3 linked regions of the Sus scrofa genome follow. The protein of the gene in region 1 interacts with the protein of each later gene in a biochemical or structural test. Links are inferred from orthologs where the notes say so. Each region holds a gene or a part of one and is shown in the gene's direction. Other genes may lie near its edges.

Evidence for each region.
Region 2: of the proteins of MAPK3 (region 1) and PTPRJ, one has a biochemical effect on the other in vitro, tested with the Homo sapiens proteins (2 studies listed by IntAct, with this or other methods). The link is inferred for Sus scrofa from reciprocal best matches to the Homo sapiens genes MAPK3 and PTPRJ.
Region 3: of the proteins of MAPK3 (region 1) and PTPRB, one has a biochemical effect on the other in vitro, tested with the Homo sapiens proteins (2 studies listed by IntAct). The link is inferred for Sus scrofa from reciprocal best matches to the Homo sapiens genes MAPK3 and PTPRB.

Annotation. Positions count from the first base shown.
Region 1 is NC_010445.4:18,296,949-18,300,695, reverse strand, and holds the start of MAPK3 (mitogen-activated protein kinase 3), read left to right. Parts: upstream 1-1,285; 5' UTR 1,286-1,306; coding exon 1,307-1,479; intron 1,480-2,519; coding exon 2,520-2,702; intron 2,703-3,747.
Region 2 is NC_010444.4:14,592,254-14,595,900, reverse strand, and holds part of PTPRJ (receptor-type tyrosine-protein phosphatase eta), read left to right. Parts: intron 1-398; coding exon 399-626; intron 627-3,303; coding exon 3,304-3,570; intron 3,571-3,647. UniProt on the Homo sapiens protein: Tyrosine phosphatase which dephosphorylates or contributes to the dephosphorylation of CTNND1, FLT3, PDGFRB, MET, KDR, LYN, SRC, MAPK1, MAPK3, EGFR, TJP1, OCLN, PIK3R1 and PIK3R2. Plays a role in cell adhesion, migration, proliferation and differentiation.
Region 3 is NC_010447.5:34,700,820-34,704,466, reverse strand, and holds part of PTPRB (receptor-type tyrosine-protein phosphatase beta), read left to right. Parts: intron 1-918; coding exon 919-1,182; intron 1,183-2,900; coding exon 2,901-3,182; intron 3,183-3,647. UniProt on the Homo sapiens protein: Plays an important role in blood vessel remodeling and angiogenesis. Not necessary for the initial formation of blood vessels, but is essential for their maintenance and remodeling. Can induce dephosphorylation of TEK/TIE2, CDH5/VE-cadherin and KDR/VEGFR-2.

The DNA of each region.
Region 1 (3,747 bases):
GGATTCAGCCATGAACAAGAAAGACATGGCCCCTGCCTACCCAGTTAAGAAAGGCAGATGAGAAGTTCCCGTCGTGTCACAGTGGTTAACAAATCTGACCAGAGCCATGAGGTTGTGGGTTCGATCCCTGGCCTTGCTCAGTGGGTTAAGGATCCAGTGTTGCCCTGAGCTGTGGTGTAGGTCACAGACACGGCTCAGATCTGGCGTGTCTGTGGCTGTGGTGTAGGCCGGCAGCTGTAGCTCCAATTGGACCCCTAGCCTGGGAACCTCTATATGCCGTGGGTGTGGCCCTGAAAAGCAAAAAGAAAAAAAAGAAAGAAAAGCAGTTGACGTTTATATTGTGGGATTGTTCTAATGAAGCGACTAGAGTGGGCCAAGTATTAAGTATATGTTCAAGTCTCATACAGAATCAAAATATGATGATCTTAACAGGATTCCAATTTTTGCCAAATCCAATGACAGAAAAAAAGTTACCCGTCTTGCTATATTTGGGCAAAGCCTGATCGTGTCAACCTTGCATGCAGCTCTCTGGACTCTCCCCCCCTTTCCCTGTAAAGGAAGCATGGGATCATCAATGATATGATCCTGGGGATACCAGTACCGCCTGGGTGCTGAGGCCAGGTCCCTAGCCCACTCTGGCAGGCCTCCAGTCAAAAGCCATTAGGCTGGGAGTCCGGACACCTGGGCTTTCCAGATCTCAAGTTGTCTGCGCGATTCCAAAGGACCTTGCGCTGCTCAGCCTTCAGTTTCCTCATTTGTGAAAGGCAGGCTACCTCTAGGAGAAAGCCATCTCCCACCGCTTTTGTGAAATATGCATGGGATCACTTAGCATCGGGCCGGGCTCAGGGAGGCCAAACGCCAGAGGGCTGGTGAGGGTCCCCTAAGGTTCCATCTGGAGCCGGACCACTCAGCCGGGCTGAGTGGGGCTGGCAAAAGCAGCGGGGACCAGGCGGCCCAGTCTTGGCCCCTCATCCCAGCCCTTGTTTGGTGGCTCTGGGTGAGGTCACTGGGGCGGCCCTACTGGCTGTTCTGCATTGGAGGGGGGGAGTGGGGTTCTGGACCGTCTCAGACGGCCCTGGGGAGCTTCTAGATTGACCGAGTAGACGGAGCCCACAAGTGCCAGGGACCATGGCATCCGTGCCCAGAAAGCTGGGCGCCGCTGCGGGGGGGTGGGGGTCACGTGACGGGCGCGGGGGCGGGCGGGGGCGGGGTCTGGCGCGCGCGCGGCTCCGCGGGTGACAGGGCGGGCGGGAAGGGGCGGGGCCGCCGGGGGGGGAGGCGGGCGGGCGGGAGGGGAGGAGTGGAGATGGCGGCGGCGGCGGCGGCTCAGGGGGGCGGGGGCGGGGAGCCCCGGGGAGCCGATGGGGTCGGCCCTGGGGTCCCGGGGGAAGTGGAGATAGTAAAGGGGCAGCCGTTCGACGTGGGCCCGCGCTACACGCAGCTGCAATACATCGGCGAGGGCGCGTACGGCATGGTCAGGTGAGGGGCGTTCCAGGGGAGGGGGCGTCTTAGAGGAGGGCGATCCCAGGGAGGGGTGCTGAGAGCTCTCTAAGGCCTTGGGGTCTCTGAGCATCGTGAAGCCGCAGGGGCTTCGGGAGGCTGGAGAGCGCCCCAGGGAGAGGGCCTTGGAGTGCTTTCTGGGGGAGGGGGCGCTGCCTACGATCTAAGAAGAGGGGGGCTTGGGGGGTTTTGAGGGGAACCTTCTCTAATGAAGGGAAGGGCCTCTAGGTGGGGGAGCTGTGGGGACCTTGGGCAGTCTATAGCCACAGGGCGAAGAGAAGAGAATAAGTCTTCTGGGGGAGGTCATATCCTTGGTGAAAACGGCAGGAAGGACCCTTCCCAGGGAAAGGGCGCCTGGGATCTGCCCCCCGGGAGTCGAATCTAGGAGTTTGGGAGAGAAGAGCAGAGCTCAGGGCTGGACAGGGTGGGGCAGGGCTTTGGGCCTGGGGCCAGGGACCCAGTGAGCAATGAGGGGGTCCCGGAGTGCCTTCTTGCAACTTTCAGGAGGGCTCTGTGAGTTCTCCCAGCCCCACTGGGGGCCCTGGGCCTTTGTTCATCAGGGATTAGCTCTGCTGCCCGGGAACCTCCCCCTGACACCCGCCCCTGCTGCATCCCTTCTCTCCCATCCCTCCTTCTTCCTGGATTCGCCTCCCTGTATGTCCCTCACACCTCCCGCCCCTGGCCCTGTCTTGGGTAGAGGGAGCCCATCCGGGGAAGGGGAGGATGAGGGGTGAGGGCCACTAGAATGGAAAGGGTTGAGGAGAAGGGAAGTCAGCGATCGGTCAGTCCCTTCCTCTGTTTGTGAAGTCACTGAAGGGCTGCCTGGCTGGTCCCCAGCTTTCTCCCTGGAGATCCCAGGCCTTCACAGCAGGAAGGAACCAGCATTGTTTATGACTGGCTCTGGCCAGTCTCTCCTGCTCCCTCCCCTCCCTGCCAAGGCCTGGGTGGGGCCCGCCGCCGGGCCTGGACTCCCCCCGCTTGGTAAGGCCACACCACCAACATCTCTCCGGCCCTCTCAGCTCAGCTTACGACCATGTGCGCAAGACTCGAGTGGCCATCAAGAAAATCAGCCCTTTTGAGCATCAGACCTACTGCCAGCGGACCTTGCGAGAGATCCAGATCTTGCTACGCTTCCGCCACGAGAACGTCATTGGCATCCGAGACATTCTGCGGGCACCCACCCTGGAAGCCATGAGGGATGTGTATCCTTCACCTTGGCCAGACGGCTGGCCGGGCACAGCTTCAGAGCTGGGCTGGGAGAATGTTGGCTTGCTTTCTGTTTCCTTCTTCCCTACCACCCTTCCAGACAACCCCAGTTCAACAGACTTTCCAGCAGAAAGAGGCCACAAGGTGTACGAGGACCGGCCAGGCCGTGTGGCCTTGGGCAAGTCTGTTCTCTAAGCTCTGCCCCAGGAGGGGGCTGGGGAAGATGGTGTCTATGGGAGCTTTGTCTTGTGACATCTGCCGTCCTGTGACGTGACCCAGCCTCTGCCCACAGTCAGTTCTTTTGTTTAACAGAGGGCGATTCTTTCTTGCCTGGGTCCTCGGACTCGAAGGAAGAAAAGTGCCCCCTTTTTGAGGGCCTACTATGAGTCTGGGTGCATTGTGCACCGAGTGCGTCGACATTTCTTAATCTGACCCCCAGCTGCCCTCTGCGCTGGGGCTCATCAGCCCCATTTCAAAGAGGAGGAGACTGAGGCTCAGAAAGGCCAACGTCAGGTGCCTGTGGCTGCCTCCACCCTTCCCCCAGATGAGAACCTGTCCTCCTGTCTCTGGGACTTCCCGCTTAGATCCCCACCCTGATCCCCCGTGGACTTGCACCTTGCCCAGGGAGGGTCAGCCTTGCCTTCGTTGCCCTCCCCCCATTGCCACTTTCCTAGCTTGTTGTCCACTTCCTGCCTGGCACTGTTAGCAGCTCGTAACACCCATTGCCTCTCCCCTACCCCACCCCCCAGTCCCAGTCCTCCACCCAAGAGTGGGGATTTGTACTGCAGTGTCTGCAGCCCCCACCACAAAGTGTGGGCAGGAAATCTCCATGCTTACCCCCAGCTTCCCGTGTGACCTTAACCAAGTCACTGCACCTTGCTGGGCTTCCTTATCTTTAAAACAGGGGAAGTTGCCGTCGTGGCTCGGCGGTAACAAACTCCACCAGTATCCAGGAGGATGCGAGTTCGATCCCCTGCCTCAGTGGGTTGGGGATCCAGCATTGTCATGAGCTGTGGTGTAGGTCGCAGACTCGGCTCGGAT
Region 2 (3,647 bases), on another chromosome or scaffold:
GGACAGAGTTTCTGGAGTGAGTGGGCTCTGAGTAGCCACGTGCAGATCACGTGGCCGTCCCGAGAAATCCATCTTTGGAGCTGGGTGGGAAAAGGTGACTTCTCGAAAGAAGGGGAGAGATGCAGATAGCTGAGTTGGTGAGAGAGGCCCCAATGTCTATGGTGCTACCTGGGATAAAAGTGCAAAGTCACATACCGGCCTCACTCAGGGCCCTCTCAGGAGCGTGTATCCTTCTGGGGGAGGAAAGGAACAGATATTTGTGTGGTAGCAGCTGTGGGTGGGTTGGCTTCTCATGGGGGGAGGGGAAGGGGTGGGGGAAGGGCAGCGGCGCTGAAAGAAGACAGGTTTGTTCTTCTGTTGCACGTCACGTCTGCTTTGCTTTTTTTGGTTTGAAACAGATGCCAACAACACAGACAGCTTGTCCCAGCCACTCAGGAGCCCTGGCGTCCCTGGGTACAAATACCGACTGGAATCTGCAGACCTGCCCTCCGACCCTTCTCTGACCCCGGACACCACGGAAGTCCTGGTTTGGGGGTTAAAGTCTGATGCAGGGTACAAGGCCACTGTTTATCCCCGGGCAGCAGATGGCCCCGAAGGACACCCCCAGGCCACAGAGTTCAAAACAAGTATGTTGAATTTTGTAACATAGCCACAGCCAGAGCTTTCTAGCACAAAATTTGTCTTCTGGGATTCTGGTTCTGAATTACCTCTTGCTTCTTAAGTAGTTTTGCTGTTGGAGGGAGTTTAAGTAGTTTGTTGTCAGAGGGAGTTTTCTGGAAGAGATTTTTGGACAGAGCAGATCCAGTAAGTTTCTTTTCCTTTTCTTTTTTTTTTGGCTGCACCCATGGCATATAGAAGTTCCTGGGCCATGGAGTTCCTGTTGTGGCTCAGTGGGTTAAGAACCCGACTAATATCCATGAGGATGTGGGTTCGATCCCTGGCTTTGCTCAGTGAGTTAAGTAAGGATCCAGTGCTGCCACGAGCATAGTTTGCAAATGCCGCTTGGATCTGGTGTTGTGGTGGTCGTGGTGTAGGTTGGCAGCTGCAGCTCCGATTCAGCCCCTACACAGGGAACTTCCTTAGGCTGCAGGTGCAGCCCTAAAGAGGAAAAACAAAAAAGAAAAAAAAAACAAAGTTCCTGGGCCAGGGATCATACCTGCTCCACAGCAGTGACCTGAGCCACAGCAGTGACAATACCAGATCCTTCACCGCTAGGCTGCCGGGAAACTCTGTTTCTTCTTCACTTTGTGTCCGAGACCCTTCTTTCATGGAACTCAGTGCAGCGTGTTGAGCAGCTGCCATGTGCAGACGCTAGCTGCTGCCTCAGTCTCTCTTTCCTTTGACTCTGCAGACTAGCCAATGAGTCCAACTACTGTGATGTTTTTCTCTTGAACTTGATCTTCACTTTGTCCATGTTGGTTAGGAGTTTTCCCCTTGAAAGACGAAAATGTGTTTCTTCTTTTGACCTGATCTTGGAAGGCCTGCTGACCTTCCTGTGACATTTGCTGGCACCCACAAGTGCCAGGTATATTTCTATCTCTAATTTGTCAGCACTCCCACTCTGTATGTGGAACAATATTTAGAGGCTTTTGGGATCGGTGCTGATGAGAGGGTTAAGAAACGCATGGCTCCTCCCCTCGAGGGATGCCCGTATGGATGGGGAATTGAGGCAAATGTACATGAGAAGTCCATGGTCAGCCTCTGTGGGCTCAGAAACAAATGCTGCAGCCCTGTAGTCCTCAGGGGCTCGGTGGCAGGCAGCACAGACCGACTCTGGTTATGTTATCCCCAAATATATCTGTTCCAAAAGGCTGTCAGAGACCCATAGAATGGAGGGAGTGAGTGTGAGGCTGGAGGTCAAGGACAGAAACCAGGCTAGCATCCAGGAAAGTCTGGACTACGCTGGACTGGTGACCCTCCCTCCAGATTCTAAGGTGGTGAGGGGAAAGGGGCTCCTCCAGGGGTGCCGTTGACAATGATGGGGCTGTCCTACTCACAGGATGCTAGTGCAGGGGTGAGGGGGGCTGGGATCTAGGCTGTGGGCCCCTCACCAAGCCATGCACCCCAGGGCAGAGCCATCCAGAGGAGGGTCTCTCTGCCTGATTTGCTAAAAGAGGCCCTGCAGATTAGTGTGGGCTGGGGCCCTCCTTTTTAAAGTGATTCGAGTGGAATTAAATAATTGATTATATGTTAAGCTTTTGGACAAATGGATACACACAGAGTCTGATTTGTGTTGATTGTCGTAGTGCCTAATAAATGATATCTGTATTATGTACACTCGTAATAGTTATGTTATGGTCTTAACCTCCTCTCTACTGTGGGTGTATGTATATGTATGTGTGTCTATATTCATGTACAGACACACACCCAGACTTTTTTTCAAGTAACTATCCAGGTGGAGTTAAGAGAACCACTGGAGGATGTTGAGACACCCAAGACTAGTTGTGGTAGAAAATCATGTCCCAGGCTGGAGAGCAAGGGGGAGGAGACAGTGTTTCTAGAGCCCAGTGAGGGGCTGGGGCCGTGGAGGACGCAGCTGGACCGGAACAGGTGACCCAGAGCAGGAGGCAGTACAGAGAAAGACTCTAGTTGTTTTCCTCCTCCAGCCCTCCAGGAGCCTGCCTGTGTCACCCGTTGGTGGAACCTGGTCCCAGGCCACCTGGCAGGAATGCCACTCACCCCCCAACCTGGGCCCCAGGGATGCAATGTGCAGGGGTCAGCCTCCTGGACACAGAACAGGCAGAAGAAGGTGGAGGGTAACTTGGGAGGGTGGTGTGTGCAAATGATGAATAACTTGTACTCTTTGAGTCAGAATTGTTATCCTGCTTTCATAGATGAGGAAGCTCAGGTTTTCCTAAGATCCACCTGCCTATTAAAGCTGAGCTGACCTTGGAATCCAGAGCTGCCCCCTGCTAAAGCCTGTGATCTTTAAGTGATCATGTAGAGTATGTTTATATGCTTGAGACCTTTTGGGGTCACCCTGAACCTCGTGGGGGGCATGTTGTTTGAGGTGTCCATTGCGATCTCTAAGAGTCAGCTCACAAAGAAGAACACAGACTAACTCCCCAGGTGCAAGTGGTCAGGTGGTTTCTTCACTGAAGATGCTGCCTGAATTCTGCTGGGACCCCCATACAGTTGGGTACGTTGTAGTTGTACTTAAACGTGTAGAGTTGGAAGGAAGAATCACTGAGTGCTGCTTAGATTGGATGATGTGCCCTGCTGACAGCTCCTCTCTCTTTCTCTCTGTCTCTCTCTTTGGCTTGGCCCTTCTGGTGGTTGTTAACGCCTCTTGTGTCTTCGCAGATTCCAGTCAGGTTTTTGATATTAAAGTTGTGAACATCAGCGCCACCAGCTTGACCCTGACCTGGAAGATCAATGATCATGAGCCGTCCTCCGTCTATACCTATGAGATACAGGTTGCTGGCGAGACAGATTCCTTCAATCTCACTGTCAATGAGACTCAGGCCGTCCTCACTCCACTCAGATCGAGTTCCTTGTACAACATCACGGTGTGTCCTCTCCTCGACGGTGGTTCCACGGGCACGCCGGGCTTTCTCCAGGTGTACACCCGTGAGTCCACTCCTGCTTTGTTAACCTTTCATGCTTGCCTGCTCTGTGCCAGGCCCTGATACGAGACAGACTCTATT
Region 3 (3,647 bases), on another chromosome or scaffold:
GGGGCTGGAACTTTTTATAAACACTTTCAGGGCTTTTTAGAAGCTAAGGTAAAAATGATTTTTGATGAGTCTTTTTTTTTTTTTCTTTTTTTTTTTTTAGGGTCACACGTGCAGCATATGGAAGTTCCCAGGCTGGGCATCCAATTGGAGATGCAGCTGTTGGCCTTCGGCACAGCCATAGCAACTCGGGATCTAAGCCACATCTGCAACCTTCGATGCAGCTCATGGCAACACTGGATCCTTAACTCACTGAGCAAAGCCAGAATTGAACCCCCATTCTCATGGATACTAGTTGGGTTTGTTACCACTGAGCCATGATGGAAACTCCAATTGGACTAGTTTTTTTTTTTTTTTTTTTTTTTTTTTTTTTTTTTTTTTTGTCTTTTTGCCATTTCTTGGACCGCTCCCGTGGCATATGGAGGTTCCCAGGCTAGGGGTCCAATCGGAGCTGTAGCCGTCAGCCTACACCAGAGCCACAGCAACACGAGATCCAAGCTGCATCTGTGACCTACACCACAGCTCACAGCAACGCCGGATCCTTAACCCACTGAGCAAGGCCAGGGATCAAACCCGCAACCTCATGGTTCCTAGTCGGATTCATTAACCACTGTGCCACTACGGGAACTCCTGGACTAGTCTTGATTAGTCATTTCTGAAAATTTCACTTTCTATGTTTATCAGAGGCCATTTGGCCAGCATATAGAAGACACTACCAGTTTTGTTTTGTTTTATTCTAATTTAGACCATATCTCTAGACCACATGCCCTTAAACACAAGTGACCTGAAAGAGAGACAAAGTCTGATGGTACAATAGGTCTGCTCACTATTATATGCCCAGCACAGCTCATGTTTTCACCTGTGAGCCAAAATGTCTTTGTTTCTTTTTTGTTTTTAGTGAAGGTTTTCCCTCTGTTTAAGTTCCAGCCTCTGTGAGCAACCTCAAAGGATCCAATCGAAACATGACAGACAGTCTCTGGTTCAGCTGGAGTCCAGCCTCTGGGGATTTTGACTTTTATGAGCTGATTCTCTATAACCCCAATGGTACAAAGAAGGAAAACTGGAAAGACAAGAACCTGACGGAGTGGCGTTTCCATGGCCTCATTCCCGGAAGGAAATACACGCTGTGTGTGGTAACTCACAGTGGAGATCTCAGCAACAAGGTCCTGGGGGAGAGCAGAACAGGTAAGAAGCCCTGTTGCCAATGGCCAAGGGTTGGTGGGAAGCAGCCTCCAAAGGTGCACTTCAATTACGGGTTTTCTTCCTGAGAAATAAAATCAATAATTCTGTGCTATGGACTAGCCTCTGACCTTGGGAAGGCCCTATAGTAAAGTGGAAAAAGGAGACAGGGGAGTTCCCATAACGACTAAGTGATTAACGAATCCAACGAGGAACCATGAAGTTGCAGGTTCGATCCCTGGCCTTGCTCACTCAGTGGGTTAAGGATCTGGTGTTGCCATGAGCTGTGGCGTAGGCCGCAGACACGGCTCAGATCTGGCATTGCTGTGGCTCTGGCATAGGCCAGTGACACAGCTCTGATTAGACCCCTAGCTTGGGAACCTCCACATGCCCCAGGTGAGGCCCTAGAAAAGACAGAAAGAAAAAAAAAAAAAAAAAAAAGGAGACAGACTTGGGGTAAAAAGATCTAGGTCCTTAGCTCTGCCACTTACTTATGTGCAGCTGGGCGTGTCACAAGCACTTCTAAGCCTCAGCTTTTGTAGCCATAAAATGGGGAGCATCATCATCATTACATTCCTCTGAGCAGTGCTTTCTTAATTTTCTTATTTCTTGGGCACACACAGATAACATTAATATCTATATGCTACCCTGGAATCAATGAACAAGGCTATCTGTAATTAGATGGAAGTGTCTATGGACTCTAGCCTTCACAACCCAAAACCTGATGGACTAAATACATTCTCATGGAGTTCCTGTTGTGGCTCAATGAATTAAGAACCTGACATAGGATCCTTGAGGATGCGGGTTCAATTCCTGGTCTCACTCTGTGGGTTAAGGATCTGGTGTTGCCTTGGCTGAGGCACAGGCTTGTAACTGCAGCTCCAATTCCACTCCTAGCCAGGGAGTGGCCCTCCTAGGCAGGTGTGGCCCTAAATGAAAAATAAATGAATATCAAGTTAAATACCTTTTCACACTTGTAACCTGTGTGGGGCACACTCATGCTCCATATCACCCTCATAAAAAAGTTCTGGTTATGGAAATTAAAGAAAATGTATATAAAACACCTGAGGACAAACTATTACATTTTGAATGAATAAGGAATGAAGTCCTACAGTACAGCACAGGGAACTATTTCCAGTCTCTTAGGATAGACTACAATGGAAGATAATATAAGAAAGGGAATGTATGACTGGCTCACTTTGCTGTAAAGCAGAAATTGGCACATTGTAAATCAACTGTACTTTTTTTTTTTTTTTTGTCTTTTTGCCATTTCTTGAGCCGCTCCTGCGGCATATGGAGGTTCCCAGGCTAGGGGTCAAATCGGAGCTGTAGCTGACGGCCTACACCACAGCCACAGCAATGCGGGATCCGAGCTGCGTCTGCAATCTACACCACAGCTCATGGCAATGCCAGATCCTTAACCCACTGAGCAAGGCCAGGGATCGAACCCTCAACCTCATGGTTCCTAGTCAGACTCGTTAACCACTGAGCCATGACGGAAACTCCAAATCAACTATACTTTTAAAAATGATTTAAAAAGACACTTGAGGACAGTGTCTTACACATGCTAAACACTATATAAATGGAAGCTCCTGTTATTATACTATTGCATTAACTCTTCCTAAGAAGTACATTAAAAGTACATCTGATGTCACTCAGCTGTCTTATCTGTATATCTCATGCAGAGAAGCGATTATGTATTTTTCACTTTCTCCTACATACAGCCCCGAGTCCTCCCAGTCTTATGTCATTTGCCGATGTTGCAAACACATCCTTGGCCATCACCTGGAAGGGGCCTCCAGACTGGACAGACTACGATGACTTTGAGCTGCAGTGGTTCCCTAGAGATGCCATCACAGTCTTTAACCCCTACAACAACAGAAAATCAGAAGGACGCATCGTGTATGGTCTTCGTCCAGGAAGATCCTATCAATTCAGTGTCAAGACTGTCAGTGGTGATTCCTGGAAAACCTACAGCAAACCAGTTTTTGGATCTGTGAGGACAAGTATGATATGTTTTGCTACTCTTGGTTCTCGGATGATGGGGGAAGGAAGTATGTGTTGAGACATCTTCTTCCAATGGGGCTTGGTATAAATTCACATTTTTACCTAGAGATTGGTTAGGTTTGAATTCAGGCAGACGTTCTATATAGATTTGTTCATTTATTCAATTTTAGCAATAGTGGACAATAAAGAACTAATCTCTGCCCTCGTGGAGCTTTCAATTGAGTGGGAGGTACTATCATTAAAAAGACATTTAGGATGTGATGAAGGAAGTATTTGCGCTAGAGAAACACATATAAGGGAGTTTCCTAGGAGAAGAACCATCCACATGAAGACCTAAGGAAGGAGTAAGACTCACCGGTGGAGACAGGGAAAGAAGTAAGGAGTATTCCTGGTAGAGAGAATAAAATATTCCAAAACCAAACAGAAGACAGGAATACAAAGGAGTTTTAGTTGGCTGGAGGATA